Nothobranchius furzeri: one gene and its partners. The protein of the gene in region 3 purifies or fractionates together with the protein of the main gene of each other region. This does not show direct contact. Links are inferred from orthologs where the notes say so. Each region holds a gene or a part of one and is shown on either strand. Other genes may lie near its edges. The genes, in order: dkc1, eftud2, ddx21, c1qbp, larp7 and rsl1d1.

Region 1 (5,280 bases), on a different chromosome or scaffold from region 3:
ACTTTTTCTGAATTTCTCCTGTATTTAAAAATTGAAAGCGTACAACTATGCCGCGTTATATTCACCTGGACACAGCTCGTCTGTATATTTTTCACCGCAGAGTTGTCCTTTTTTGAATGAGGAACATAGTTATGGGTTTGTGCCGTTTTTCTCTTAACTAGAACATTCTTATAAACAGACGTGCTGAATTTGGCAAGCGCATGATTCACAACACGGAGGAGATTCACGATTGCATCTAGTCAATCAGAAGTAGAACACCGTAGACTGACGCGACAAAAAAACATGTTTAACATCCACTATAACGAACTCAGCTAAAACACTAAGTCCAGCTTGTTTATTTTCTGTTACTTACCGGGCTGGCTCTTCCAAATGACGGCTCACTTGACCGCGGTGCTCTTCCTCAGCCCCCACGTTTTCGTCTCAAATGTTCACTTAGGGACGTCGTGCTTCCGTGCCATGCTAGATGGTTTTTGCATATTTTGCCTTTTCAAGGCATCTAGACTGAAGTGCTCCCATACTCGTGAGGTTTTTGTCCGGGGTTTCTCTAAAGTTTTGTCGCTTCTATTTTCTTCCGTATTTCCTCTTGTTCCGCCATCTCTCACAGCAAGATGAGCGTCAGTAACGTGATACGTCATGAAAACCGAGGGCACTCATTGGCTCATTTCTTCTTCTACGGCTCCACTGGTAGATCAGTGGCTCATTACTGCCACACACTGGCGGCAAATTTAACAGCTTGTAACCGATGTCAGATTGTGGTAAAAAATAGACTTTATGCGGTAAAATATGATTATTAAACAACTAATCGATGACTAAAAAGGTTGTTAACTATTTTAATAATCGATTATAATCGATTAGTTGTTTCAGCTCTAGACAAGACAGAGCTGAAAACGGCTTGTGCATGCGTCGGTCACTGCCTCCGCTCAGGTTTTTTTTTTAATGTATTTATTTTAACTCTCTCACTCACACACACACACCTCAGTCAACATAGTTTTGTTTAACCGTGTGTGGGAAAAATGCCAACAATGTGAGGAAAAAATCAGTTTAATCAAATTAAAATAAATTCTAGTATTTCATATTTCCTAGTTCCTACTGCATGAGTTCAGATGCATTTATTCATGCACTTAAACATTAATGTTCTGATTTTACTGAAAAACTTGTTCTGTAATGGTTTCTTTACTATTGTGATCAAAAATATTTAATCTCAGTTCTGAGGCTGCTCTGTAAATAGTTTTCAGATAAACAATACACATATCAACTTCTGATCAATCCAATTTCAGATTTAAAATAATGCATTGATGTAAACCACACCCACTAATTTACAAATAATAAATAAGAGGTGCATTCATCTGTGTATCTCCTTTGATCCGCATTAGTGATATTTTCAGCACCAGAACAATGAAGCAAAGAAACAGATTCCTGAGTTTGTTAGTAATTTTATTTATTAGGTGCATCTAACCTGTTCTATTTTTCTCTGAAATGAGATCAAATCAGTGCTTCTATGGGTTGTCTCCTCTCTGCACTAGAAAAATTTACTTTATTATAATGTTCACTGTAATGCATCTTGATGTTCTTAACACAAATTAAATCAAAGATATGGGTCAATAATGCCAAATATGTAAATTTTTGTTTCAGTCATTTTTATACTGGCTTAAAAATACTTCATTAAGTCTACTAAGCAGGGGTGTAGAAGGGTTTTTAATATTAACATAAAGGTGAGACTTGTCAATCATTCTCCCCCCAGCACCACCACCGGAAAAATTCCCAGGGGAAACGCTTGTCTGACAGCTAGAGCCGATTCCAACAGGGTTCTAGTCGAGTCAACTCATTACACCAGATGAAACCACAAACATGTCACTAAACAGAGCAGATAACAAATGCTTTATAGCACAGAGTCAATGTGATCAGAATAGGAGGTCGTCTTGGCTGTGGTCAAGTGGGGTCATTCCCCAGACGGCTACTGGTCGTGGTCAGGCAGAACGCCGAGACCCCTCTAGCAGCCGCAGGAGAAGCTCTGATCCAGAACGGAGCAGAAGCAAAGACCACAACAGGCCCACAGCACTCAGAGAATGGATAAACCAGTTCATCATATCACATGACCAGGGTCAAACATGTCAGCAGGCACAAACAGGAGGAGGGGTTCCTGACCTTTAATAACAAGGGCCACTGGGAGGAGTCCAAAGTGGGGACTTTGGTGTCTGGCTGGATTAAAAACTCTTGACTCTCTTGGATCTCCTGTTGAATAAAAACATCAGTTTGTTCAACAGGAAGAGAATCTCCAAATAGATCTTAAGTTGAATAAATTCACACCAACCCCAACATCTTCAGCCACTCTCTTCGACTTCTTCTTCTTCTTTGTGGATGCTGCAAAATAAAAACCAAACTAAAGTAGCATAAATCCTTCCTAAAATCAGAATTCCAGGATTTTCTCAGAGAACAACAATCTACCGGGCCCTAAGTGGTGTTTTGTCACTAGCCAGACTGCTCAAGTGTTCACCAATATTCTAGACGAGTCTTCATGCCCACCGGGAACTGAACATTGCATTATAACAGGTTACTGGTCCCAGGTAACCTCAGGTTAAAGGTCACTAACTCCAGGGACCATACTACACCTGCTTTTTAAAAGAGTGTTCAACAGGTTTATCCAGGCGATTACCTTCATGTGTGCAGGAGCAGCAAACCTGCAGCACGTGCAGCATGGTGGCCCTGGAGATGGGCCCTGCTCCAGTGCAACTCTGAGCCCAAAAGGGCCTTTCAGTGGAAAAAGTACGACCGAAAGAAAGTATTTTATCTGAAGGAACAGAAATTTAAATCCCTGTTGCAGTTTGGTAAATTTGGAAAACTGTAAATGAATGATATAGAGCCCACGTGGCCTGCAGCTGCAGCACGTGGTGGAGCGCACGTGGCTGCTAGCGGAGCTAACAGGCCACTGACCGAGAACCCGCTCTCTCAAAGTTAACTACACTAAACGCTGCTGGAGCTTATGAAGAAAACACGAGTCCACAGAGCAAACCCTTAGTTCTGTTATTGAATTAAACCCAACTACTAAAGCATGTTGGACACGTGGAGGGATTTGTTTGTTTTAACTGGCTCAGACGCTGCCAAACCTCCTCATAGACCAACTTAGGAATTTTTTTTACTGCGATTCCTTCTGCGTAAAACACGCTTGTACGTGCACGTGGACGTGTTGTTAATAAAATCCCTGACTCAGCAGAATTATGTTCAAACTTAGCAATAAATTAAACACAGACTGTCGCTTACAAAACGTGCTCGACACTCACCAGCTTCGTCCGCCATCTTCTAATGAAAGATTCTTCTTCTGCTTGATGTTTTATGGCGGCTGGCACGAAAGTACTTGGTGCACTACCGCCACCAACTGGTCACAGAGCAGAAATGAAACCAAATGAGGTAAATAAATAAATGAATTTGCTATTTAAATACAATTTTTACATAATTAAATATAAAATGGAAAAAAATAAATGTGAAAAATAATTCTGACTTTTCTTTCGGTGGTTCTAATGCTCTTCTTTAATTAACTAGCATCCTGGGGGGAAATAAACACTAAAAAAGGCCAGTGATATTTGGAGTCAGATAAGTCTGTCATTAAGTAGTGAGACACAGATCACTGGTGGGCCTCTAGTGCAATAGTGTGTTAAAAAACGGAAAAAACATGAGATGACTGCGGATTTTAGAAGAAACGGGAACATGCTAAATGCTTGTTCCATCCTGGGAGAGAAGGTGGAGGTGGCGGAGGAACATAAATACCTCAGTGTCCACCCGGACGGCAGACGGGACGGATCAGTGTTTACAGTTAACCCCAAAATCCCACTATCTCCGCGTAGTGGAATTTGAGTGTCCACAGCTGCAGATCCAATAAAAATACTTCCTTTTTTATTGTTTGATAAACGTGTGTCCACTCCAGGCCAGGTGGGGGCAGTAATGCTGCACTGCTACCACCCACAAACGTCGAAGAAGAAGAAGACTCAGCATAATTCAGCTGGATTTTATGCGAGAACTTCAGGATCAGATGGAAGGTGAGGATCTTCTTGATTAGTGAAGTAGTTTTTGTTCAGGTCTGAATAACCTGCAGCTTCCGGGTTAAAACATTCTGATGACGTGTGGATGTTTTACTGCAGGGTTGTAAATGAAACCCTGCAGAACCCAGCTGCCTCATCAACATTCACTAGGACAACTTATTTAGATCGTTCCTGTCCGCAGGTATTCTGTCCCATTACTCGTGGCCACACTGCTCCAGGTGTTCTTTCTCCAGATGTTTCTGCTCTTATCACAGATGTTCAACAGCATCTAGATCAGTTCAGAACAGTCCAGTGCTTGGTTCTGATCCATTCTCGGTGTTCCTAGCTGTGTTTTCTGATGATAGACTCTGGACAGTAGATTTGGCTCCAGAGGGTCTTGGTGGTCCTGGGATTGGACCCTGAACCTTTTCAGGAATCCTTGGTCCAGGTGCAGTGAGTCCAGAACAGAACTGATCTTCCTCCATCTTCTACAGTGTTTCTAGAGCCGATTTCCATCTCATCAATCAAAATGATGCTCTCCCTGAAGCTCGTCAGTGTGGTTTTTGGTGATCTCTAGTCTGTTCTTTTGGGTTTTTCTGTCACCAGGAATCCTCCTGGGTCTTCAACCCCTCATGGTGGGATCAGAAAGGCTTCAACAGTCCTGGATGCATTGTTTGTCTGATTCTTCCTTCTGATCAACCTGAGAGTGGATCTCATCTCGGATCCACGTTCTTAGTGGTTGCCCACATTCCCATCAACCTCCTACTTTATTAAAATTGTCAGCTGAGGTCCCAGGACCATGAAGCTGCCTGGAGACGGTCTATGAGCCGTGGCCTTTAATACCCCTGACCTTTGTGAGCTCATCTGACAGCTAATGTTTCTGTGGTCCAGGTTCAGTTTGGCCCAACCAGCTGCAGCATGACTCCTCAAACGGGTCAGATGATGGCTGATGTGAAGTGAAGTTAAACCAAAAGGACAAATGTCTCTTTAAGGGGGACAAACCTGTCTACCCAAGCTAGTTTAGCAGATCTTTGTATGACAAACAAATCATTTCTGTGTGTGTGTGTGTGTGCTCCGTTTCACTGCATGAAAGGAGAAATAACACAAATTCACGGTTTCTAGGTGATTCTTGTGACACCTCAGCGACCCCATCAAACAGGAGGTGCACCTGGATCACAGGAAGTGCAAGGAAGATCAGAGACAACGCCGCTGACTGGCACAACCTGATGCTCAGGTGGGACAGGCTGAACGACGAAGGATTCAATTT
Region 2 (4,785 bases), on a different chromosome or scaffold from region 3:
GCATGCAGGAGGACTGACCCATCATAAACCTTTGTCGGCTGTGCTGAAGAGAAAGGTACTGAACCACATTATTTAATTAATTAGCTGCGCGCTCTGTCCCCCCCCCCACGCACACACACACACACACACACACACACACACACACACACACACAAGGGACTGTCTCAGCTGTTATTTTTGTTAAGGTGTGTGCACGTACAGCATGCGCGCCTCGTGCACGAGCCTACTATTGAAGCTGCCGTTACGCTTTTGGACTGAGGGGGCAATCGCGAGCATAAAAATTCAAAAGTCCGTAAAGTCCCTTTAAGCTCTGATTTGCAAATAGAAATGCACTGATGCTGACACCAGCATAGATATCGGCCCGATACCACAGCTTAATTGTCGCTGCTGCGGCTGTTCCCCTATTTACCAGAATTCCCCCCACTGGATTTATAACATTATGTGATAAATGACATTCACTCTATACAGGAGCACATTTCCGCTGCACGTGAAAAGTGTTGCAAAACAACTGTGAAATGTACAATGCACAGTTAGCCGCTGCTTAAAGTGGATGAGTTCCAACGGCAGCAAAACGTGATGTTTTGGACACGCCCCAGAAGCAAGGGGACGCTGTCATCACGTTTGAAGACTACTTTTTACACGCCACACTTCCAAAACACGTCAAATTCTGCAGTTTAGATCACACCAGTCAGAAAGTCAAACACAAAAGCAGTGTAGAACATCCAGAAACTTTCAAAATAAAAGTCACACGCAGGTAAACGTACATCCTTTCCGGTTGTAACCCCCGTAGCCGATGTAAACAGAACAGAACATAAACAACAGACCTTTTTGATACATGCAGGTGTTGTTCTCCATCCATCCATCCATTGTCTGAACCCACTTGTCCACGTAGGGTCCCCGGGGGGGGGGCTCTGGTGCCTATCTCCAGCGGTCAACGGGCAATCAGGCGGGGTACACCCTGGACAGAGAGCCAGTCCATCACAGGGCAACATAGAGACACACACACACACACCTAAGGACAATTTAGACAGACCAATCAACCTGACAGTCATGTTTTTGGACTGTGGGAGGAAGCCGGAGTACCCGGAGAGAACCCACGCATGCACAGGGAGAACATGCAAACTCCATGCAGAAAGATCCCAGGCCGGGAAGCGAACCCAGGACCTTCTTGCTACAAGGCAACAGCTCTAAACACTGCGCCACTGCGCAGCCCAGTGTCATTCTCCTTGCTTGTTATTGTGTGTGGACTTTTGAAATCACGTGTAGTGTCGCAATTCTCCTGTGATTTTGTGACATCCTGGGGTCGACAGCGTGGAAAGCTCTCACTCCCTTTTTGCATCAGAAACAGTCCTGATTGGGAATGAACTCGCGGGTAAACCGCTGCTGTTACGTTACGCGACCGCTTTCACGGCTGGTGGAAAGAAGAGGTGAGACTGATTCTGGCTAAGGAGCCTTCAGATCTTGGATTCCTGTCGTTTTCTGTTAAGATTGTATTTTCTATAAGACATTGGTACACTAAATGTGGCTCACAGTGGGTAGTTCCATAAAAGCAAACAAAAAGGAGCATTTTTTTTTCAACAATTTCAAATGATTTGAAGTGGCAATTAGAAAGTACTCGTACTCTGTTTTAAATATCTGGTATTGGTGCATACTGATCTGCAGATCTAACATAAAAAGAGACTTTGTCTTCCTTTTCAGCACGTATTCCACGGATGAGAACTTGGTGGTGTCTCCTCTCCTTGGAAACGTGTGCTTTGCCAGCTCTCAGTACAGCATCTGTTTCACGCTGGGGTCGTTTGCAAAGATCTACTCGGACACCTACGGTGAGAGGCTCATCCTTAAGCAGCTGTAACTACAGTGTAGTTCTCTCAGGACTAATTCACTCCTGACTCTGGTCCGTAGGGGACATCAACTACAACGAGTTTGCCAAGCGGCTCTGGGGAGACATTTACTTCAACCCCAAAACGTGAGTCTCAGTGTCCGCACACGTGGAGCTGATCTTTGTTCACATAACTCAGGAATTCCTTTCTGCTTATTGTTTAGTCGCAAGTTCACAAAGAAAGCTCCCAGCAGCAACTCTCAGCGCAGCTTTGTGGAGTTTGTCCTGGAGCCTCTTTACAAGATCCTCTCACAGGTTAAACATGCCTTCCTCAGTGCTCCGTTCGTCCATCAGACTCAGGTCCAGCTTGCCCGGTGTGTAACTGTCCTTGTGTCCAGGTGGTCGGAGACGTGGACACCTCTCTCCCTCGAGTTCTGGATGAGCTTGGGATCCACCTGACCAAAGAGGAGCTGAAACTGAACATCAGGCCTCTGCTTCGGCTGGTCTGTAACCGATTCTTCGGAGAGTTCACCGGTATGACTGGATTTGAACCGCCTTCGTTTGTCTAGAAATAAGTTTTTCTTCTATGGGAAAAGTCTGGAGTGATGGCCAAAGTGCAAAAATACAAGCTTGTTGTATATAAAGTAGGGTTGTCACGGTAACCGGTGTAGCGGTAAACCCCGGTAAAAAAGTTGACAATAATAATAACCGTCTTGTTTTTAACAAAATATTATCTCGGTGGGTTACCGTGGTTGCGGTGTAGGCGCCATGACCCTTACCAGCCACCGTATCATCTGCTGAAGTTGCCGGCGGCACATGCGCGCTTTGTTGTTTACAACCAAAACTTTCTTGAAGCTAAAGCTGAAATAATGGCCAGAGGAGGAGACGGCAGCACTCAGGACATTTATTATCCCTCAAAGAAGACAAAGTGGGTATCATGGACATGTTTTGGATATATGAAGAATGCCGAGGGACAGTTGATAGAAGACGGCTATCCTGTTTGCAGCACGTGCAGAAAAAGTGTCTGTGAAAGGCAGCAACGCTTCAAATCTCATGACCATCACCCACAACTCTACAGTCAACGCAAGGCAAGCTAACGTTAGCGTTTTAGCTAAAACGCGTGATCCGAGGATTTGGGTTGAGGGAGAATGCAACGAGTTGCTATATAAAGCAGCCGCAGCACCGCTACCTGCATATACAGGTGCTGGCCAGTAAATTAGAATATCATCAAAAGGTTGAAAATATTTCAGTAATTCCATTCAAAACGTGAAACTTGTACATTATATTCATGCAATGCACACAGACCAATGTATTTCCGATGTTTATTACGTTTAATTTTGATATTTATAGGTGACAACCAATGAAAACATCAAATCTGGTATCTCAGAAAATTAGAATATTCTAAAGGCCAATGAAAAAATGTTTGTTTCTCTAATGTTGGCCAACTGAAAAGAATGAACATGAAAAGAATGTGCATGTATAGCACTCAATACTTAGTCGGGGCTCCTTTTGCCTCAATAACTGCAGTAATGCGGCGTGGCATGGACTCGATCAGTCTGTGGCACTGCTCAGGTGTTATGAGAGCCCAGGTTGCTCTGATAGTCGTCTTCAGCTCCTCTGCATTGTTGGGTCTAGCGTATTGCATCCTCCGCTTCACAATACCCCATAGATTTTCTATGGGGTTAAGGTCAGGCGAGTTTGCTGGCCAATCAAGGACAGGGATACCATGGTCCTTGAACCAGGTGCTGGTGGTTTTGGCACTGTGTGCAGGTGCCAAGTCCTGTTGAAAGGTGAAGTCTGCATCCCCATAAAGTTGGTCAGCAGCAGGAAGCATGAAGTGCTCTAAAACTTCCTGGTAGACGGCTGCATTGACCCTGGACCTCAGGAAACAGAGTGGGCCAACACCGGCAGATGACATGGCACCCCACACCATCACTGACGGTGGAAACTTTACACTGGACCTCATGCAACGTGGATTCTGTGCTTTTCCGCTCTTCCTCCAGACTCTGGGTCCTTGATTTCCAAAGGAAATGCAGAACTTGCTTTCATCAGAAAACATAACTTTGGACCACTCAGCATCAGTCCAGTCCTTTTTGTCCTTGGCCCAGGCGAGACGCTTCTTGCGCTGTTTCTTGTTCAAGAGTGGCTTGACACACGGAATGCGACACCTGAATCCCATGTCTTTCATGAGTCTCCTCGTGGTGGTTCTTGAAGCGCTGACTCCAGCTGCAGTCCACTCTTTGTGGATCTCCCCCACATTTTTGAATGGGTTTGTCGTCACAATTCTCTGCAGGGTGCGGTTATCCCTAGAGCTTGTACACTTTTTTTCTACCACATTTTTTCCGTCCCTTCGCCTGTCTGTTAATGTGCTTGGACACAGAGCTCTGCGAACAGCCAGCTTCTTTAGCAATCACCTTTTGTGTCTTGCCCTCCTTGTGCAAGGTGTCAATGATTGTCTTTTGGACAGCTGTTAAGTCAGAAGTCTTCCCCATGATTGTGGTGCCTTCAAAACAAGACTGAGGGACCTTTTAAAGGCCTTTGCAGGTGTTTTGAGTAAATCAGCTGATTAGAGTGGCAGCAGGTGTCTTCTATATTCAGCCTTTTCAGAATATTCTAATTTTTTGAGATACCAAATTTGGAGTTTTCATTAGTTGTCACTTATGAATATCAAATTTAAATGTAATGAACATTGGAAATACATTGGTCTGTGTGCATTGCATGAATATAATGTACAAGTTTCACGTTTTGAATGGAATTACTGAAATATTTTCAACCTTTTGATGATATTCTAATTTACTGGCCAGCACCTGTAAACCGTGTCGCGGACACCCCCATGTTGAAATGACGCTATGCATTACGGGGCTCCCAGGGGCAGATAAGAGTTGGTCTCTCTCCGAGAATAATTATGAATTTAACAATGATTACTGCCTGATGACATTTTCCCACATCTGCAAAGCTCACTGGAA
Region 3 (3,994 bases):
CGGGCATCACCTTGTCCTCCGACGCACTGATCACTGATACGGCCGCCAAACAGTGAGCGCTCCGCTGTTTTTGCGGTCGGTAGATCTTTTAGAACTGCAGTTCAAAGGTAACTCATAAGGTGAATATATATGAACCCAGGCAGCAGTTTTTCTTTAGGATTGAGAGGAGATGCAGGAAGATAATAAACAGGCAGGACAGAAAAATAGTCAAATAAAAACAAGTTAGTTTTTGTACCTGCTGTTGCAACAAACAGACACCATTGAAGGTAATCAGAAGTGAGGAACAGAAAATGAAATAATTATTTTAATGTTTAGAGCAGCAGGAACTCCGAGAGGCTGCAGGCGCATCAGTGAGTTTGCGGCTGCTGCACAGGGGGAGGGGGGAGAGGGCTGAAGCTGGGGGAGGGGGGAGATGGCTGAAGCAGAAACTACCGTTGTTAAAAAGAAATGTGTTTAACTTTGAAAATGTGGGCGCAATTTTAATTGTCAAAAACTCTAGCGAACCATTCGTTCATTTTGCTCAAATAGAAATAGAGGCCTGCCTCTAATACTGGCCCTCCTTCCAATAAAGGCCTGGAGCTTGATGAGCTTGAGTCAAATACAGGCCCGGGCCTGTATTAGAGGATTTACGGTATTTCATCTTATCAAGCCATAAATCTATACAATGAAAAAGGAAATGCACCATCCAGATTCTACCCACATTATTCAAGAAAAATACATGAATGCTTACAGTTCTGTCTTTGAGGAAGGTCATTCTGTGAATGTGGTTTTCAATCTCTTCTCCTAGCTGTTCTTTCATGGTTCTCCAGGCATAACCGATATTATGCATCTCCTGAGAGCACACCAGCTGCATAGTGGTGAAACCCTGCAAAAACAAGCAAAGCATTTGGAAAGAAAAACAAATATTTACAATCCTAAAGGAACAATGAATCTTAAAACAGACCATCCTTGGTTGGCTCTGCTATGTGGGGGAATCTGGGTAAATAAAGTGATGTAGCTGTAATGCCTAGAGCCCATCTGGGTGGTCTTTAAAAAACTAAACATTACAAAATCAGATATAAGCTACTAGACTCTAGAGTCATTTGAGGATGAATGTGCAATAATGTACCAACCTAACCTGGTGGAGTTTGAATGTGTTGACAAAAGACAAAACTTAAGAAAAAAAGCTGAACTTGATGTAAATCACGATGTAAAACAAATCACTATTTTTGTCCATCTTTAATGTTCACTGGTAACTTTAAGTGAGATTTGAAGATATCAGAAGGTTTTTTTTTTAAAGATTAATTTTCATAAGCTGAACATGTAATAAATAAATGTTTTGGATTAATAAAAAATTGGTTTATTTTTAACTAAAATCTTCAAGCATTGGTGGAAATCTGAACTCAATAAAAACAGGCATCAAAAAATAAATTCGTAATTCCTGTGCTTGTTTTGAATACAGCTTCTTTGAGAATAAGTTATAGAAAAGAAAACAAGCAAAGTTTTACACAGGTGAAATTTTAAAGCAGCTTAAAAGGAAAATATTAATAAAATACAGTGTTTCCCCTAGGAATTTTTCCAGCTGTGGTGTGTGTGTGTGTGTGTGTGTGTGTGTGTGTGTGTGTGTGTGTGTGACACGTCTGACCTTTAAGTTAATATTGTTTTATTAGACGCACTCCACTTTGAACTGCACCAATCCAGCAACTGCTGCATTTTAATAACTAGTATTAATGGTGAATACACCAATATTTGCACAAGAGGAATTTTTGTTTTAAACTCTCAGTGACACTTGGGGGGGGGGAAGGAGGGGTTAATTTTTCTTGGCGTCTGGAAAAACATCTTCTGCCCCCCTTTATTTGACTTTCTGCCCCCTTTATTTTGGTCCAAGATCATTACTGGGCTGGCCCTATTAAAAAAGTTCTACACCCCTGCTTAGTAGACTTAATGAAGTATTTTTAAGCCAGTATAAAAATGACTGAAACACTAATTTATATATTTGGCATTAATGACCAATATCTTTGATTTAATTTATTTGTTAAGAACATCAAGATGCATTACAGTGAACATTATAATAAAGTAAAGTTTTCTAGTGCAGAGAGGAGACAACCCATAGAAGCACTGATTTGATCTCATTTCAGAGAAAAATAGAACAGGTCAGATGCACCTAATAAATAAAATTACTAACAAACTCAGGAATCTGTTTCTTTGCTTCATTGTTCTGGTGCTGAAAATATCACTAATGCGGATCAAAGGAGATACACAGATGAATGCACCTCTTATTATTTGGAAATTAGTGGGTGTGGTTTACATCAATACATTATTTTAAATCTGAAATCGATATTCGTGCCGGGATTCCCTCGCTGCGGACGTTCTCTCCGATGACATCATTGGGCATGAGGGGATAAAAGGAACGCTGGATACACGCCCGAGGAGCTACTCCTAACCCATGAGTAGTCTCCATTTCTGCTCCGTTCTGGACACCCTGACTTTGTAGAATACGGTTGTGATTACGTGCGTGTGTTTAGAGGAAAGCCTCTGCATGGTATTCTACTTAAGCCTGAGTGAGTGGTTCCTAGTATTTAGTGCCAATCGCTTCATACTGGTATCTTTGCCTGGACAGAAAACTTCGGGGAGCCTTTTTGCATATAGAAGCTCTTAGAAACCCGTACCAGCCTAAGTAAATATTTCATTTGAAAAGCTACCTGAGATATGTTGATTATAGTCTGTTTTCCAGCTTTTAATTAAAAGCTGTGATTTTTCTTTAGTACCTTTTTTTTTACTCAGGAGTTTTCTGTTGGGCTGTGTCTAGTGGTATTTGTTAGAACCTCCAGCCCCAAGATCAAGTGTAATCTGTGTAACAAAAATAATGTATGTTTTAATTAAATAAGGAAAATATTTTTATACCCAGGTTTCTTTCTCATCTGTTCTCATCTTTTCTCTGTCCTCTTAGCTTCTTAAAGTAAGGGGTAAAGCATAAGTTAAAACCTAACAATATATTTGATCACAATAGTAAAGGAACTATTACAGAGCAAGTTTTTCAATTAAATCAGAACATTAATATTTAAGTGCATGAATTAATACATCTGAACTCATGCAGTAGGAACCAGGAAATATGAAATACTAGAACCAGACACAGCTTTTTATATTCTTTTAATTTGAGTTAACTTATTTTTTCCTAATGTTGTTGGCATTTTTCCAATGGGGGGGGGGGGGGGGGGATAATTTTTAAAACCCGACCGGAGTGGAGGCAGTGACCAACGCATGCCATTTTCGGCTCCGTCTTGTCAAATGCACCATATCCGTTACGACAAAGGTAACTTTAAATATTCAACCGAAAAAGAGGCGAGCTGAAGAAAACCTGGGGAGTACTGAAGAAACGTGAGCAACAGTGAAGCAAGAACAGAGATTGGTTACTGTCTGTGTGTGTGTGCGTGGGGCGGATCAGTTGTGTGTGTAGGGAGGGGTGGGCACTCCATGTGACTGGCCAATCACAGAGCGTGAAGGCAGTCAGTTACCCAATGAGGATTTTTATTCAGAACGATTACAGATATTCACGATTTTTAATCGTTTCATGCTCGTATTCGTCAAAAATGCTTTATCCGCGGCTCATCCCGAGCTGTAACCACCCTGCCCTGCCTCCTCCTCCTTGCTGCCTGCTGGCTGTGATCACAAGCAACAACAGAGTAGTTCCCGCTGCTTCTTCGGGAAACAGTGCAAAAAAATAAAATAAAAATCAATAAAACGGGATCTTTCAGCCGTGGCGGGCCACCACGACTACGCCTATGTAAGGGAAACACTGAAATAGACTTCCCCTATGCTCAGAAAGAACAAATTCAAATTCTGTATATCCTCTGTAGTTAGTGTAGCAATCTATTGTGCAGGGATGGATTAGTTTAGTCTGTGAGATCTTCGTGTTTGGCTAGCAATTAGCTTTTTTAGTTTGCTGACCATTAATTAAAAGCTTAAGAAAAAGATGATTTTTGCTTTTTTGTTGGCATCACAGCGGAGCCTCGAA
Region 4 (5,235 bases), on a different chromosome or scaffold from region 3:
AAAGCGTTTTCATTTAATTTAATTTGCTGTCAACACAAATAAGTCATTAAAAATGTCTAGAGACACTAACCTGGGAGGAACTGCCAGGGGCTTATCCAGGTGTTTTGTTAAGGTGGCTGAGCACCGGGTTAAAGCGAGGTGGGTCAGGTTAAACTGTCTTTCTTCTCTTTTAGTCATAAAAAAGTCACATGCATTAAAATCATAAGAATTAAAAAATTAGGATAAGGAAAAGTGTACAAGCACAATTAAAGTTCAGACATAATTAGAGTATGTAAGTAATGAAGAGCATAAAACCCAAATTAATTCACAAAAACACAACTTTTAGATAGTTTGCAGATGGATATAAAACCAAGAGCTATCTGTAAGGGAGAGCTCAGACACCCTGAGAAGAAAACTCATTTTGTCCACTTGTATATGCGATCATTCTTTCAGTCACTACCCAGAGCTGATTACAGCTGCAATCAATTCTCTCCTAAATTCATAAAACTATTGTGCATATATGAATGCTTGAACAGGGGTGAAGATTAATTCTGAAGCCACTTGAGCAGGACCATAAGGCTAAAAACAAAGAGAAACAGGATTCCTTCAGCTGTCAAGATTACCAGAAAGGTCCAACTGTCCAAACCCGACACTCAGGAAACTGACAAATGTCCCGCAGCTACCTGCCTAGAGATGCAACAGATAAGAGGCCAGAAGAAAACCGAAACAGCTGCAGAAAAGTTCCTGCAAAAAAAATAGCTTGTGAAACACTCCCGACCCCACTCACACCTCCGGGTGGTGCGACTGGATCCATGAATATACCTCTGCTAGCAGCTGTGTTTTGCTAGAACAGTGGCTTCCAATAATGTTCCTTGTTTGAGAGGTTTCTGTGCATCTACACACCTCAGATTAGTCAATAGCTGATTAACAGGCATCTGCAGAACCTGCTATCAGCTGTTGAATCAGTTGTGTTGAAGCAGGAAAACATGCTGGATAGTGGATTGGACACCCCTGTGCTAAAAGGTAACTGTAACTCTAAATGGTACCGGTGGCCACAGAAAAATTACATTTGAATTCTGGTATCAAACGGTTTTATTGGACAAACTTTCCATCTCTCCAACAAACATCACCTCACTCATTCGACAAAACCGCATCAGTCAGCAAAAACTCAGTTGCTCAGATCCGTCATAAATAAACAATTAAAAACGGAAAGAAAAACAGGTTAGTTGGCGTTTTCAGAAATCCTGACTTTTACGGATGAGCCAGGCAGTAAAACCCAGACTTCTGTAACTGGCAGTAGGTTCTCTCTCAAGTTACAGCCACACTTTACAGAAAAACTTAAACCTTTACTGACTAAGAGTAGTGTGGCAGCTGCTGGCGACCATCTAATCAGTCACTGAGCACTTTACCCTACAGCCTCCATCTTTATTAGGTAGAAACTATTACATTTGACATTAATTACATTTCACAAAGCCCTGGAGATCCTCCAGGAACTTGATGTACTCTTGATGCTCAATGGCGGTGCTCAGCTCCATCAGCTCATCGGCGAAGGTGTTGTCAACCCCGCGGTCAGCCAAGAAATCCATCAGGTGGTCATAAAGCGCCTGGAATAAACGGACTATGAGAGTAGCGTCCTGCAGCCTCATTAACTTTCTGAACCAGTCTCAGCTCTTACCCAGTCCAGGGAGTCTGTGTTGAGTGTGTAACTGGTCTCCTTCCAGTCCACATCCCCCTCTGGTTGGAAACTGACCTCCCGGATTGCAAAGATGTCGCTCTCCTCCTCCCCCTCGGCATTACTTACCTACAACACACAAATCCAGCAGGTTTCATTTAACTGAGACAGAACCGGCTCCTCACTATTTAGCATGTGCTTGTGTATGTTTGTTTTACCTCATCTTCAGGAAAATGACAGTCAAACACAAGGGAATGTTTAGCAGCTTGTTTTGTCACTTCAACAACAAAGTTGGGTGTTGACACAATCTCTGGCTACAAAGAAGGACAAAAATGATACAATTATAGAATTATAAAGTGTTAAAATCATTTTTTCTTTCCACGACCAATCAGGTCATAGATTGATGATGGGCTTACTTCCTCCTCTGCCGATTTCTGTGACTGCCCCTGCTCCACTGCCTCCTCCTCAAAGTTAGGAGGAATGCTGTTGTTGACATTGAACGTGACGGTGATTCTGAAATCAGACCACACCGTGAGCCCACACTGAGCACCACTTCCTCTCAGAACAAATCGTAGCATCCTTACTTGTCTCCAGAAGCATGCTTTGTGAGTTTCACCTCTGTTCCATTCATCCCCACCTCCCATCCTCCAGTCATTTTAGGTAGACTTTTGTTTTTCTGGATTACCTTCTCTTCTTTGATCTCATCAGACAGGAAGTCACCAAATGCTTTATCGCCTGAATAAAGTGAGGGCAAAAATGATAGATCTGTCTGAATTAGCATCAACACCTTTAAAACTCCTTTCAGAAAGACTAAATATGAAATGCTGCGTATAAAGTTCACTTAACTCGCTTAAGTAAGACAAGTGTGTGTACTTGAGTGTTTACATGTGTATTTAAAACCTAGAACTTCATGTTTAATTACGTTGTAAATCTCCTAGCTTGAGGCTAACAAGCTAGCTGATTAAGACGTTACTTTAAAACGTGACCTTACCTTCTGTGTGCAGTCCTTCACATCCACACGACACAGAAGGACCCAACACCTTTGAGCTGAACAGTTTGGGTCTGTAGCCTGATGACGCTCCGTTATTATTCAGCATCCACAGGGAGCGGGTGAACGGCCGAATTGTAGCCGAGCTGGGAGCGCACAGAGTCGGGCAGTTGATTGGTAAGGCCCGCGAGACTGAGGACAAGCGAGCAGCGGCTCCCGCTACGCGGACAAACGACTTCAGCATAGCGGTGTGCTTATTAAAACGCTGTGTGAGAACAAAATAATTTAATCTAACGCCCCTGAAAGCCCCCTTAGCCACGCAGGTTACGGCTGCTTCTTCTGGAAGATACAGGAAGCACGTGGGGAAGGACACAGCGACCTCGCGTCACTGCGACCTCTGAACCGGAAGCAATGTTTTTTAAAGCGATGGTGACATATTACATCAGTCAAATGAAGCACATAATGTACAAATGATAAAAAAAAACACATCTAAAATATATTAACTAATCATCAATTCCTTATTTGAATACTGCCCTTTGTGCCCAAGCGGAAGATTTTAAATGGACATATGCATTTTGGTTTAACAAGCCTAAAAAAAGTCCCAGTTTGTGATGACACAAACAGGGAATTGGGGCAAGGTGGAAGAGGACTTAAGTGTCTGCCTCATAATTGGAAGGTTACAGGTTCAAACCCCGCTCAGCTGGTGTCGGTCATGTTGTGTCCGTGTCACATTACCTGCTGGGGGTGGTCAGAGTGACGCCTGTGAACTTCAGCCTTGCCCAGGGCAGCTGCAAGGCTGTTTCTCCCCGTTCGCTGACTGTGAGAGCGGGGAGGTTGCGCTGACTCCCAGGTGCAAGGGAGATGTACTACCAATGGAGCAGCAGCAACTCTACCTGAAACCCCCATGGAGCAGCAGCAACTCTACCTGAAACCCCCCTGAATATGAGGGCACCTCAGGTTATATTAGCCTGAGTAGGATGGATGTTTTCTTAAAGTGAGGCTTGAAACAACTCACTGTCGAAATAAAAAAGCTGAAATCACTTCATGTCAGAAGAATTTTGTGCAAAGAACTTTATAAAGATGTTTGTATGGACAATGGAACTACGATAACCATCTTCTTTAAAGGGACAGTTCACCTTTTTTCAAGCGGAGGTCTGTGGAGGTGTTGTGAACAATTAATATCTGAGCTGCTGTTGATGGCAATTGGGCTGACCTCAATTTAGAGGTTGTGTTCAAATTGGAACTAAGCTGTTAGCGACCTCTTGACCCCTGTACTGAGACACTGTGTTTACACACGCCTGTATTCTCCATACCAGTAAACTCAGGTTTGATTACCAGCTGGCTGATACTTCCTTTTCCACACAAAACTTTTCGTTTTGCTTTTAATACCTGGTAAATATCTGGCCTTTTCAGCTTTGTTATGATGCATTAAAATCTAAAAATGTAAGAGGGTGGACTTTATGTCACGAGTCTGTGACAAAACTTTAAAGTTTCTATCTGGAAACAAAGCTTTCAGGCATTATAGAAACACGTCGTAAACAAACAAAAATGATAATCACCTTGTTGAAACATTTCTTTCATTAACTGGTTTACTTCAACAGTTGGAATACTTTTATTAGAAATTATAATAGTTTATATGAAAACCTGTTCTACTCTAATTAAGCTCATTTAATGTTTGCCTTTATTCTACAAACTACATGCAGGTAGGTAAAGTAGGTTTTCATTTGACTTACAAACAAGTAAAATGCAAGTGGATCTCAGAGAGATTCCATCAATTATAAATGCAAACATTTTTGGTTCTAAGCAGGAAACTGAAACGCACGTGGTGCCTCTTCAAAGATATAAACTATTTATGTGACAACATGTTGAAATTAGAGTATATGTTGTACAATCCTGAGTGCAGAGTAAAAAAGAAAAGAGGATCCCTTCATCAACATGATGTGACCTTCTAGAGCAGGGATTCCCTAAGTGTGGTGTGGTGCGCGAGCTGCCGCTAGGGGGTGTGCGAGGTGAAAAGTGTAATGGCTGCGGAGCTCAGAGAAGTCTGTCATATGTCACCATTAGCGTAGCCAGAAACTCATTTGTGGGTGGGCCTAAGAAAAAGTAAGTGGGCCCAATAAATGCAACTGAAAACAAGTATATTTTGTGTGTGTGTGTCCTCCGCATGTGACCTAGCTTCATAATAATGCGCTCCGAGCTTCAGCGCTCTGGCCTGCACACGCTGTTAATAGCAAGATATGTTTCGTATTTGATCATTTTTATCGGTGTTGGAGAAATCTGAAGGTGGTGAGTCATTCTGGCAGACTGTAATTTACACCCTGTCTCATGCAGGTGTTCTGACATTGTAAACCTCACACACAGAACATTGTGGATGTAACTGAATAAATCACGAAATGATTCCCATCTGAGCATTTTAGCATTATTATATTATTATATTAGCACACTGACTGTGGGACAGCATTCTAAACGTGTCAGGCTATTAACAGCACGCTGAAGATCTGAAGTTCGGAGTGCGTCTGTCAGAGGTCAGACGCGTTCCAGCGGAACCACGGCTCACAGGTGCACAAGTGAGCACATCTGGGCTGGGCAGAAGTCA
Region 5 (5,470 bases), on a different chromosome or scaffold from region 3:
TCTCCCGTATTCCAGTCAGAATTGACAAAGTTCCTTGGATGAGAAGCGAAACGTCTTCAAAAAACCAAAGAAGTCCAGTTGCCTTCATTTGAACCATTTTGGGTTACCACGACCCGGATGACTGAACATTCACCAAAAATGCTGGGTTTTATGGACTCTTTGATCTTTTTTAATGGGATTTATAAATAGAAAAACATATCATCATCTGAAATGACCCAATGTAAAAATTAGCAACTAAAGCAGAGTTTCGTTTGTTGTTACCACGTAAACTGTGCGGTCGTCGACGTTTTTCGGTGGGTCTCCGAGTGGATGTTGACGTCTGACTTTAGTTCCTTCGAGGTTGAGCTAAAACACAAAAGCGTTTAGAATGTCATTTAAACAGTGACAGTCACGAGTAACGAGAATAAAAAAAGTCATCACCTCCACTACAGATGAGTTTCTCAGTGCTCTGGCAATCAGTTTAGTGTCAGTTGTCAGTTTCTTCATCCGACTGAAGCTCGTCAAAACAGAAATATCAACATCTACAAGAAGTGGAAAACACGTCAAGCTCTGATCGAGTCAATCTGAGATTTAGAACTAGCACTTTCAGACACTCACATCCTTTGTCGGACTCATCGATGAGCTTTTTCAGAAAGCGGTCCTTGTACAGGTTGACGTCTCCAAACCAAAACTCCACTTGCTTCTTTATGTCGCTGAGCAGCTGTTTAACTCGAGACCTTTTTTTTCTTTCCATCTCCTTGTTCTTCTCCATAGATGTTACTGCATCAGCTGCTTCTTTCTCTGTGTTCAGCATCCTGGCTGTGGGGTGACAGCGGAGCTCTTTAACACAGACACATTCAGAAAGAGTAGACGACTGTGGACTTGTCTGTTTACGGGAGTTTTTGGGAGGAACGAGACCTAATTTAATCACAAAGCGACAGAATGAACGACGGTCTCCTACTGATAATACAAGCTGCTAACACACAAGCAGCACGCACATGTCTAGAGCTGTTTACATGAACACAAACAATGAGAGTCAAGACTTTTTACAGTCAAACTGTACTAGAAACTCTAGGGTAGAGCCTTGTGACAATGAGTGAGTTAGGGATGCGTAGATCATTGGATTGTTTATTATGATCTTTATGTTGATAGATTGATTTTTTATTTGTATAGATAACATAATTATAGAATAAAATAATACAAGTAAGTTTCACAATATGACATAAAAACAATAAATATACAGGGTAGCACAAAAAAAGCATAAAGCACTTATTTCCATAGAAACCCTGAGAAGGTAGTTATAATACGTAATATAACAACAACGCCTCAGAGTAAAAACAGTACAGTTAAACGACTAAATAAGGTTAAGAGACCAAAAATACACAAATCTGAAAACAAACAAAGGTGTCACTCTCTTTTTGGGCCAACATTTGGACTATAAGTAGTTTGACCCTTTTCCTAAAAAACAGACTTCAATTGACATGCCCTGACTACATTTGGCAGATCATACAATATTTACCACTCTCAGAGTTTATAACTGTATATTGAACACCAGAAACATACAGTTTATTCACCAATATGCTGTCTGGATGCTAAGTTGTGTAACTGATGTTTGTCTAAATATATATAAAGCCTAAAATATGCAGAGATCACATTTTAAAAGACGATAAGAACAGATTTAAGCCACCAGATCTGTTTAGTATTTAAATCTAGTGTAGAGACTAGATGAAGCCATCAAAATCATTTTGATCCAGCCAGAATTAATAAACTACCCAAAAAAACATGAATGTTTTGTAAAAGAAATGTACTTGATTTCTTTGCCACTTGCCGTCGGTTCACAGGTGCACAAAACCTTTAAAAATCAAACAAAACCTTCATCTAATTAACTTACCATTAAAAAGTTTGTCATTTATTTGCATTATTTATACTTTTACCCTATTTAAAATGCGTCCGGAATTTAAGCACCATTTAAGGAACTACACCAGATATATACACTCACTGGCTACTTTACTGGGTGCACCTTGCTAGCACCGGGTTGAACCCCTTTGCCTTCAGAACTGCCTTAAGTCTTCAACAAGGTACAGGAAACATTCCTCAGAGGTTCCACCACATCCCAAAAGTGCTCTACTGGATTGAGATCTTGTGACTGTGGAGGCCATTTGAGTACAGTGAACTGATTGTCATGTTCAAGGAACCAGTCTGAGATGAGTGGAGCTTTGTGACATGGTGCATTATCCTGTGGAAGTAGCCATGAGAAGATGGGTGCACTGTGGTCATAAAGGGATGGACATGGTCAGCAACAATACTCAGGTAGGCTGTGGCTTTGCAACATGATCAGTTAGTACAAAGGGGCCCAACGTGTGCCAAGAAAATGTTCCCCACACCATTACACCACCACCACCACCAGCATTAACTGTTGATACAAGGCAGGATGGATGTTACAGCAGAAGTCGAGACACTTCAGGCCAGGCAACATTTTTCCAATCTTCTTTAGTCCAATTTTGGTGAGCCTGTGTGAGTTGTAGCCTCAGTTTCCAGTTCTTCGCTGACATGAGAGGTACCCGTGGAGGGGTCTTCTGCTGCTGTGGCCCGTCTGCCTCAAGGTTCGCATCTTCTGCATAACTCGGTTGTAACGAGTGGTTATTTGAGTTACTGTTGCCTTTCTATCAGCTCGAACCAGTCTGGACATTCTCCTCTGACCTCTGGCATCAACAACCACAGAACTGCTGCTCCCTGGATGTTTTCCCTTTTCTGGACCATTCTCTGTAAACTCTAGAGATGGTTGTGTGTGACAATCCCAGAAGATCAGCTGTTTCTGTAATAATCAGACCAGCCCATCGGACACCAACAACCATGCCACGTTCAAAATCACTTCAATCACCTTTCTTCCCGGTTCTGATGCTCGGTTTGAACTCAGGGGATCGTCTTCGTGATCTCTACATGCCCACATGCATTAAGTTGCCACCATGTGATTGGCTGATTAGTAATTTTCCTTAAGGAGCAGTTGGACAGTTGTAACTAATAAAGTGGCCAGTGAGTGTATTTTGTCGTTTTATGACGTGTTTGTTTGAATTGTGAAGCATAATATACTTAAAACCAGAATGGCACTAAACATATATTATTTAGAAGGAAAATAACACATTTTCTGACTGTTTCCGCGGTCCGTAAGGCTAACATTTGTTAACAACATTCGACGTTAGTACAGGGGAATTCGCGGGTTGGTTTCAAAAACGCTGCGCTGGTGTTAGTACCTCCAAACCTGGAAAACCGATCTTTATCACCCAGAGGAAAAACTAGAATGAAAACTTACCCAATTTAAGAAAATATAAAAAGACCAGTTGGCTTTTAAATTCGTAAAAATGTTATTAAATCGCAGCTTGCTGCATAACATCACACTAATGACTGCTCAGAGCCGTCGCAGCCTGAAGTCGTCATGAGCGTTTTTCTACATCCGGCAAGTCTTTTCAAAATAAAGGTAAACCAATCATTCATTTCGGTTTCAGTGATTCTGTTGATAATTTGCGTGAACTCTATCCAGTCGATTTTTTTAAAAATATAAACAAAATAATGTGCATCATATAGCGGACAGCAGAATACGAAATATGAGCTAAGATCAATACATAACGATTTCACGACGTAAACCGTGGCCGGTTAGTTCAGTTGGTTAGAGTGTGGTGCTAATAGCGCCAAGATTGCGGTTGCAATCTCCGTACGGGCCATTCTTTATTGTGCTGCATTGTTTCATCCTTCATATTAATTATTTCATTCATTCATTTATTTAATACTTCCCATTTTATTCTAATGTATGTGTAGAGTCATAAGAAGTTACACAAAAAGCGATATTTGACATTAACAAAACTACATACATTTGTTATTTTTCATATTTCATATATTTCCTACACATTTTCATATGTTCAAAATACTTTCAAACTTTTTTAGTTTCTTGCACAAATCATCCTCAGTGCAGCACTCAATCCTTTTCTTGATGAGTTGCGATAACTGATTGTAGAAAGTCTTTGCCCGCTGATCCTCTACGCAATCTATTGATGTGTTGCAAACGTTACGCAGTACCGTGACCAACTTTTCATTGCTGCTGACCTCACAGCGCTGAAGGACCCATTTCCCCCACTCGTCCCACATTTCGTCATCTGTAAAATTCACAGCAATACTCTCTTGGCTGCACAGGGACTCTGGCTCTGGGTCATACAAGTCATTCCATATGGCTCTGTAAGAAGATGAAAATTAAATGCATTTTTTTACAATAACAAAGTGTTCAAATATTTAGAATTTAAATTGATTTAAAACAAAGCCATTAGCTTACACAATATTTTTCAGTGGAAATGGAGTCAAGTCACTGAGTGAAAACAGGCCTTTGTAGCTGACTCGGTTCCCCTCCATCCTGTGAGAGAAGAGCGTGTTTAGAAAATCCCCCACTTAGTGTTTACATCAATCAAGAGGTGTGGAAATTCATCAAACCGGAAAAAAGAATGTTACAAAATTACCAAAGCTTAAACCGATTTCTAATTCTGTCATTTGACTCACTTCCCTAAAGAGTTCATTTGAAATGCCACGTCACCCTCAGAAGGTTCTTACCACAGCTCTTGAAGCCTTCTTTTCACTCGTATGGCATTGGAAAGAGCCTCCAGTTCCTCATCAGCGATGTTTGACCATCCAAGTCTAAATGAGGAAAAGAAAGTAACACATTGGGACATATTTTAGTCTGTCATTCTGTTTAGGAAATCTTCAAGCTTTGGGTTTATTTTGAAACTGAAACGTGTTCAGATATTTTATCGAGATCTTACCCAAGGTGAGTGATATTGTCTGACACTCTCAGAGTATCGGCAATAACCTGGATGGCATCCATGTCCAAGTTGTTATCTCCAAGCCTTTAGAATATAGTAGTTTTGTCAGTGGAAAAGCAACTGAACATACAGTGCTGTGGTTTCGTTTTGTTTAATTAAAGGCGTCACTGGGAAACTGTGTAACACTTGAAATATGACCAGTCTCTCTGAGTTTCACATGCATGCTAAACGTGTAAATTGTATTCAACTCCCATTACCTGCATTAGCTAGCTAAAAGAGAAGGAAAACTGATCAAATCAGCAGTCTCTTCTATGTCACAGTCACAGTTAGTATTCATGACCTTTGTCGGAGGTACTGTCGGGACACACAGTTTTCAATTCAATTCAATTCAAAATTAATTTATTAATCCCAGAGGGAAAGTGGTTGCTATGCATACCGCGTCACACCCATCATCACCCAGGCGAGTCTAAATAAGGAGGCCAACCTCGTCAGCTTACCGCTCAGTCATTGTTTCTGGAATCGAACTCAGAGCTCATATCCTTGCTGATCTCCTATGAACTTTTTATCAACCGGCCTTCTTTCATTCTTATACGGTAACATCGTTCCGCTCCGGTTCCTACCGAGCGCTCTGGTGTTTCTTGATCAAATCGCGTGTCTAATTCTTCCTTTGGAAAAATACTCTGAGGCAA
Region 6 (5,306 bases), on a different chromosome or scaffold from region 3:
TTCCACAGCACAAGAAAACAGAAGGTGGCAAAGGCTGGACAGCACTGATGCTAGAAGAACTCGAGACAAAGACTAGCAACATCACAGACCAGTGACACCAACATCTGCCCAGAGGTTTGAGATGGTTGGAACCTGCACAGACGGAAAAAGAGCTTTTTCCTCAAGCCTTGAGGTTTCCATCACCCCCCTGTAGAATATTGTGCCTTGTGATTATTTTGTAGAAGGGAGATTTATTTTTCTTTCTAAAGCCCAGTTCACAGATCTTTTAATCGTCAGATCATTTACCAAGCACAAGGGAAACACGCGATGAAAAGGCACGGATGTAAAGGTCACAGCCCAAGGGTGTGGTGTGCAGTAACTCGGCTAACGTTTATGTAGCTTTAGCCTTTTACTGCAGGTAACAGGTAACATGGCTGGGAAAATAGGAAACAATGAGCGCCCTGAAAAGGAAAGTTAAGCAGAGCGGCAGACATCGCTGATAATAAGGTTGACAAAAACTGTTCACTTGTGTGGACGTGTTGTACCCAAGCCCCCACAATGCGGCTCTAAAATTGGGCCCAACCCGGAAGTACCAGAAATTGCAGTTCCACCCTCATCCACTGGGGGCTGGTGTCAGAAGCGAGCAAATCCTCACTGACTCCCATGTTAAAAATACCAATTTCACAGCAGAAATAAACATGTTTACAGCCTGGTACCAAAACATGTTTTTGGTTTAAATTATCTAGTTTACACTCATGACAACTCTGAGGGGGGTGAATTTTATTCTCACTGTTTAAGTGTATTAAAAGCCTAAAATTCTGTATAATTAATGAGCATCAGACCCACGTGACCGCAGAGCTAGCTCGTGGAAAGGCCTCAGTAGAGCCTCGGTCTGGCTTGGAAACTGCTCCGGGATTTTGAGTCTCTGTGTTTGTGTATTCTTTATTGGATATTATTTGTGCAATTGTTGGACAAAACAACTTGCTGTGGCATTAATTGCGCTAATAGAGCGTCCAAGGAGTCTCCACTTCATTTTTTCGGTAAGTAAAATTATATTTTTGTATTTTAGATCACTGCCGAGCTGAGCTTAGATTTTAATAAGTACTGTTTAACCATGAAATTTAAATGTAATAGGGTAAAACCCAGTGCATTTAACATAAAGCTGCACTTTAGAAAATGGGTTGAAATATAACATGTTGGTGGAGCTGGGTTCTAACTATCGGCTTGTGGAGCTCTCGGTAGACGGATGTTTTCCACCCGGTTTTACACAGCGGTCAGCCCGGCGTATCTCTGACTCAGAAGCTCTGGTGTTGTGCACAGTTAACTCCGGTTGTAGCTAGGTTGCTACCTACGTTAGCTTAGCTCCAACATTCGCATTAGCTTTGGGTTAGCTTCTGGTTAGCTTGAAGCTAGTTCAACCGGGTGTCGTCACTTGATCCCAGCCTTACAGCCCCACCTCTTCCCTTTTTTGGAATTGTCTGGGCTTGACGGCAACCTGCTGAAGGTTTTCACTGATATGAAACTTTGTTTTGTTCGTTTTTCGCTGTATTTTATTGCTTCTTAAATAAACTACATTTAAAACAATCAGACATTGAGAATTGAATGTCTGTTTTTATTTTTATTTTAAACCAGCAGAACATTTTTGTTCATTTTTGTTCTGTTCTCTAATGAGAGAAGATTTCAGTTTAAAACAACTTTTGTCAATCCAAAACAGTTCAATAAGGCTCGACATGTTCAGCTTTAGAAAATAAATCTTTAAGTGAAAAATTATCTTCTAATATATTCAAATCTCACTTTAAAGCACCGGAGAGCATCAAAGAGGCCCAAAAACAGTGATTTGTTTTATATTGTGATATATACTGACTGATAAGAACTGGCTCTGACTGATTCTGGTACCAGTCTGAACACCAAACCCTGGTGGTCTAAATTAGTTGTTTTTGTTGACAGATGTTGTCTAAATAACAACAAAGACACCAGCAGCAAATAAGTAAAATGCTTCACACTTATCGTGCATTTGGTCATTCTTAATTGGTGGAAAAACAAGTTTAAAAGTTGTGCTGAATAACCAATCTGACGAGTAAAACAGACAGCAAACAGACTATCAAAGATCAAACTCTCAACTGTATCACACCCACCATCTCGAGTTTGGCCACGATGGCTTGGACCGCCGCTTCAATGTTTTCTGTCACCTCATCTGCTGTCATGTCCGACTGAGCGACGCGTGCCATGCTGGAAAATGACCAAGTTGGATGGTGAAACGCGTGGCAGCAGAACGACAGGTTTTAACACAACCGTTACGCTTATTATGTATCAAAGTTGTAGAGACAGGCTCCATCAGAGGGAGGACCATCTGGATTTACATTGAGTCTCTCTGGCACCAAAATAACCCACGTCAAACAGAAACCATCAACAGGGTTGTACAGAGGTGCGGTTGATTCACAACATTAAACTTTCATCCCAGTCTGTTACACCCCCCCATTCAAATAAAACAGGTGTTTTCAATCTGCTGCAACAGGGATGGAAACATCCTGGGACTGATCTCACCAGCAGCAGCCTTTGTTGGTGACCGTCAGGGTGGTGCCCTGGATGATGTTCTGGATGTCTCGGGCCAGATGGTTACTCTGCAAGTTCACAGATAGAGGTGCTCTGCAAAGACAATAACATGGCGGCAATACTTGGAACTCCCTTCTCTCAACACGCTCACTTAAACAGCTGGGATAGTTCGTACCTTTTCCTTTCATAGAAATGCTTTCCGAGATGGGACGGCAGAAGCCGACGGACACGGGCATCGGCGAGGAAGATGCTGAAGTTTCCCAGCAGGCGACGCTTGGCTTCATAGGGTTTATATTCTGTCTTCAGAACCCTGTACGGTATAATCTACCAAAACAACAAATAATCAGTACATTGGAAACTTTGACTTTGTTTAATGACCAAACTGTTACACTGCTGACATCACTGGACATTGTGGTAGAGTTAAATTATGGTAGCATGGTCAGATTACCTCTGATATGTTCTTGACACCTTTCTCCTGCAGCAGCTTCTTATAAAACCTCTGGGTCTGATCTGAGGTCATTCGGGGCTCATCCTTAGTGAAGAGGCAAACTTCCTCCGTGTCAGACTGATGGCCATGGGGCAAAGGACTGAAGAACGGAACACACACTTAAAATGATGGCAAACACAGTTCAGTAATAGAGCAACTCCCCAGTCCCGGACTGCGGGACTCACATCTGGATGCATTGCTTCTTCTTAGGGATCTTCCACAGGGTGAAGAGCAGGCTGATCGGCTGGGTCTCCTCCGAGAACAGCGAGTCTGAAGCGGCTGCTTTAGTTTTGAGAAACGCCTGCAAGGCTTGGACGGCCTTTTTCACCTGCAAATGTAAATAAACGTAAACTTAGGAACTCCTGCTTAAAGTCCCAGGACATCCACGAGGTCCAGAATGAAGCTAGCGTGTCTCGAGCCTGACTTAACAACGCCCAAACAAGCTAACTTGTGTTCGCTACATCTACCGGAAATAGCTACAAGCTCACAAACGCAGTTTCTGATACTTCAAACAACACTTGATACAACTGTGAGAGGATAAACGACACTTTAGAGACTTTTACCTGCGCCCGGTCTAGTTTTACTTCTGACTTTTCCGCCATGCCGTCCGCTTCACGTGCGAAGACAACGCGCATGCGCAATACAGACTCGTGGGCCACGTGACGAATACAAATTGAAAAACTTTATTCGTATGTCAAAAACTGACAAAAATGAGAATTTGAGGCTAAAATACTATTTCACGTGCGCATTTTTCTGTTAACACGTTTCAAAAACAAAATGTGATCAGAATAAGTGAAACTATAAGGAAGAAATTTGAAACCCAAAAATATCTTTGCATTAGTTTTTATGCAGACATAAATCTAGCAAGAAAACCTGTTTATACTAGCTTAGATGTGTTTATTATGACAACTGTCTCCAGCTCAGAGAAGTAAACAGTGTAACAAACTATTTTTAATTTAACTGTCTGGCCTTACAAGATATAAAAATTAATAGTAAAACAGTCTGACTGAGTGCTGCCTGCGTGGTTGTGCTTACCTGTAAATATTAACCACTCAGGGAGGAATTCAGATTTTCCTAACTTAAGTCCAGGATTCCCCATTCAGAGCAATGTGTGTAATCTCTGAGGTGACCTGAAGAAACCCTTAGATCCAACATTAATAAAGCTTATGTCAACACTGATGCACGTGTTAAACTCTTTAATGAAGATCTTCACTTACAAATGTGCACACCTCCTCCTAACTTGGTCCTGATAACATAGTGGACTGGGAAAACTTTGAAGTATTCAGTCTATTAAAGTAGATTTGCGTTAAATTCATTGTTTAAACAAGCAGATCAAACATGTCGAGAGTAAAACATAATAAAACAAGTACACTGCTCTGTCAGCTTGATCATTTATTTTCAGTTGAGATTATGTAACAGCCTGTTTTCTGAGAGCGTTTGTCCTTGGATTATCAGAGTAGTACTGTGTGAGCTCAGTCCAAATAACCCAAACTAAAATTCTGATACAGCAATCTTTAAAATCAAATATCCACCGGACTCCCAAGTCCACTCTAAAGAAGGGAGATGCACTTTTAATTATAATTACAAGCCAACTCCAATGTTTGCATGATGTAGAAATCACTGAGCGTTTTCAGCTCTTGCTCTTCAAACTCAGCAACGCCGCATCCACAGACCTAAAGAACAAATAGCGTGTCCAGCCGACAGCACAGCTGGCCCTGGGAGTAATCAAGAGGGGCGTGTAGCTACATTAGTGGCATAGCCGAGCTCTCAATATGAGAAAGCTGACGCGCTGGACATGGACTCGTTTCATGTTGCTCATCATATAAACTGATTTCAGTCTTGTTTTCTTCATTTGATATGATTTGACTCTGCTTCCTTCCTCCTTGTTGGCGATCTTCTCTTCAGCAGAGTTGTGTGTAGAGAGAGAGGAGCTGTTTGGGTCAGCTCGGGCAGCGTTTCTCCTCAGGTAACGAGTGAAGGAGCTCCATGCACGCAGGTGCATTTAGTCCTTTTCTGGAACCAGCTTCAGCACTTTGCCGATGGCGATGGTTTTGCCTGGAGATTAGAGTTAAAGCTCGTGTTTATACAGGATGTAGAGGTTTGTAAATACATTTAATTTCCACCCACAAAGATGCAGCAAATATAAATACTATGGGACACAAAAGTAAATAAAAACAGCAAAGAATGACAACTAAAGGCTTACGGTTTCAGTTTGCATAAACAAAATCTAGATTAACTTTAGTTTCTAATCCATGTAGAAACTTCATTTTATTGAGATTTCACACAA

The links.
Region 1: the proteins of ddx21 (region 3) and dkc1 purify together in Homo sapiens (co-immunoprecipitation; 3 studies listed by BioGRID and IntAct, with this or other methods). This does not show direct contact. The link is inferred for Nothobranchius furzeri from reciprocal best matches to the Homo sapiens genes DDX21 and DKC1.
Region 2: the proteins of ddx21 (region 3) and eftud2 purify together in Homo sapiens (affinity purification with mass spectrometry; 3 studies listed by BioGRID and IntAct, with this or other methods). This does not show direct contact. The link is inferred for Nothobranchius furzeri from reciprocal best matches to the Homo sapiens genes DDX21 and EFTUD2.
Region 4: the proteins of ddx21 (region 3) and c1qbp purify together in Homo sapiens (co-immunoprecipitation; 3 studies listed by BioGRID and IntAct, with this or other methods). This does not show direct contact. The link is inferred for Nothobranchius furzeri from reciprocal best matches to the Homo sapiens genes DDX21 and C1QBP.
Region 5: the proteins of ddx21 (region 3) and larp7 purify together in Homo sapiens (affinity purification with mass spectrometry; 5 studies listed by BioGRID and IntAct, with this or other methods). This does not show direct contact. The link is inferred for Nothobranchius furzeri from reciprocal best matches to the Homo sapiens genes DDX21 and LARP7.
Region 6: the proteins of ddx21 (region 3) and rsl1d1 purify together in Homo sapiens (affinity purification with mass spectrometry; 3 studies listed by BioGRID and IntAct, with this or other methods). This does not show direct contact. The link is inferred for Nothobranchius furzeri from reciprocal best matches to the Homo sapiens genes DDX21 and RSL1D1.

Annotation. Positions count from the first base shown.
Region 1 is NC_091758.1:16,263,062-16,268,341, forward strand, and holds the start of dkc1 (H/ACA ribonucleoprotein complex subunit DKC1), read right to left. Parts: upstream 3,374-5,280; 5' UTR 3,295-3,373; coding exon 3,279-3,294; intron 2,362-3,278; coding exon 2,312-2,361; intron 2,233-2,311; coding exon 2,146-2,232; intron 585-2,145; exon of another isoform or gene 353-584; intron 1-352. Other genes in the region: cinp (cyclin-dependent kinase 2-interacting protein), read left to right, coding at 4,004-4,031, 5,136-5,280.
Region 2 is NC_091745.1:13,636,125-13,640,909, reverse strand, and holds part of eftud2 (116 kDa U5 small nuclear ribonucleoprotein component), read left to right. Parts: intron 1-1,698; coding exon 1,699-1,823; intron 1,824-1,902; coding exon 1,903-1,966; intron 1,967-2,043; coding exon 2,044-2,134; intron 2,135-2,217; coding exon 2,218-2,353; intron 2,354-4,785. UniProt on the Homo sapiens protein: Required for pre-mRNA splicing as component of the spliceosome, including pre-catalytic, catalytic and post-catalytic spliceosomal complexes. Component of the U5 snRNP and the U4/U6-U5 tri-snRNP complex, a building block of the spliceosome.
Region 3 is NC_091749.1:53,561,653-53,565,646, forward strand, and holds part of ddx21 (nucleolar RNA helicase 2), read right to left. Parts: intron 866-3,994; coding exon 731-865; intron 1-730.
Region 4 is NC_091750.1:66,120,521-66,125,755, forward strand, and holds c1qbp (complement component 1 Q subcomponent-binding protein, mitochondrial), read right to left. Parts: upstream 3,038-5,235; 5' UTR 2,884-3,037; coding exon 2,643-2,883; intron 2,387-2,642; coding exon 2,236-2,386; intron 2,165-2,235; coding exon 2,068-2,164; intron 1,966-2,067; coding exon 1,870-1,965; intron 1,781-1,869; coding exon 1,655-1,780; intron 1,584-1,654; coding exon 1,434-1,583; 3' UTR 1,054-1,433; downstream 1-1,053.
Region 5 is NC_091742.1:73,340,871-73,346,340, reverse strand, and holds the start of larp7 (la-related protein 7), read right to left. Parts: upstream 3,437-5,470; 5' UTR 3,290-3,436; intron 820-3,289; exon of another isoform or gene 799-819; 5' UTR 794-798; coding exon 598-793; intron 522-597; coding exon 421-521; intron 346-420; coding exon 262-345; intron 1-261. Other genes in the region: NACHT, LRR and PYD domains-containing protein 3, read right to left, coding at 3,886-4,204, 4,301-4,378, 4,573-4,656, 4,782-4,865. UniProt on the Homo sapiens protein: RNA-binding protein that specifically binds distinct small nuclear RNA (snRNAs) and regulates their processing and function.
Region 6 is NC_091756.1:27,386,684-27,391,989, forward strand, and holds the start of rsl1d1 (ribosomal L1 domain-containing protein 1), read right to left. Parts: upstream 3,671-5,306; 5' UTR 3,655-3,670; coding exon 3,583-3,654; intron 3,348-3,582; coding exon 3,205-3,347; intron 3,120-3,204; coding exon 2,981-3,119; intron 2,857-2,980; coding exon 2,708-2,856; intron 2,626-2,707; coding exon 2,524-2,625; intron 2,409-2,523; exon of another isoform or gene 2,283-2,408; intron 2,209-2,282; coding exon 2,115-2,208; intron 1-2,114. Other genes in the region: gspt1 (eukaryotic peptide chain release factor GTP-binding subunit ERF3A), read right to left, coding at 5,022-5,074. UniProt on the Homo sapiens protein: Regulates cellular senescence through inhibition of PTEN translation. Acts as a pro-apoptotic regulator in response to DNA damage.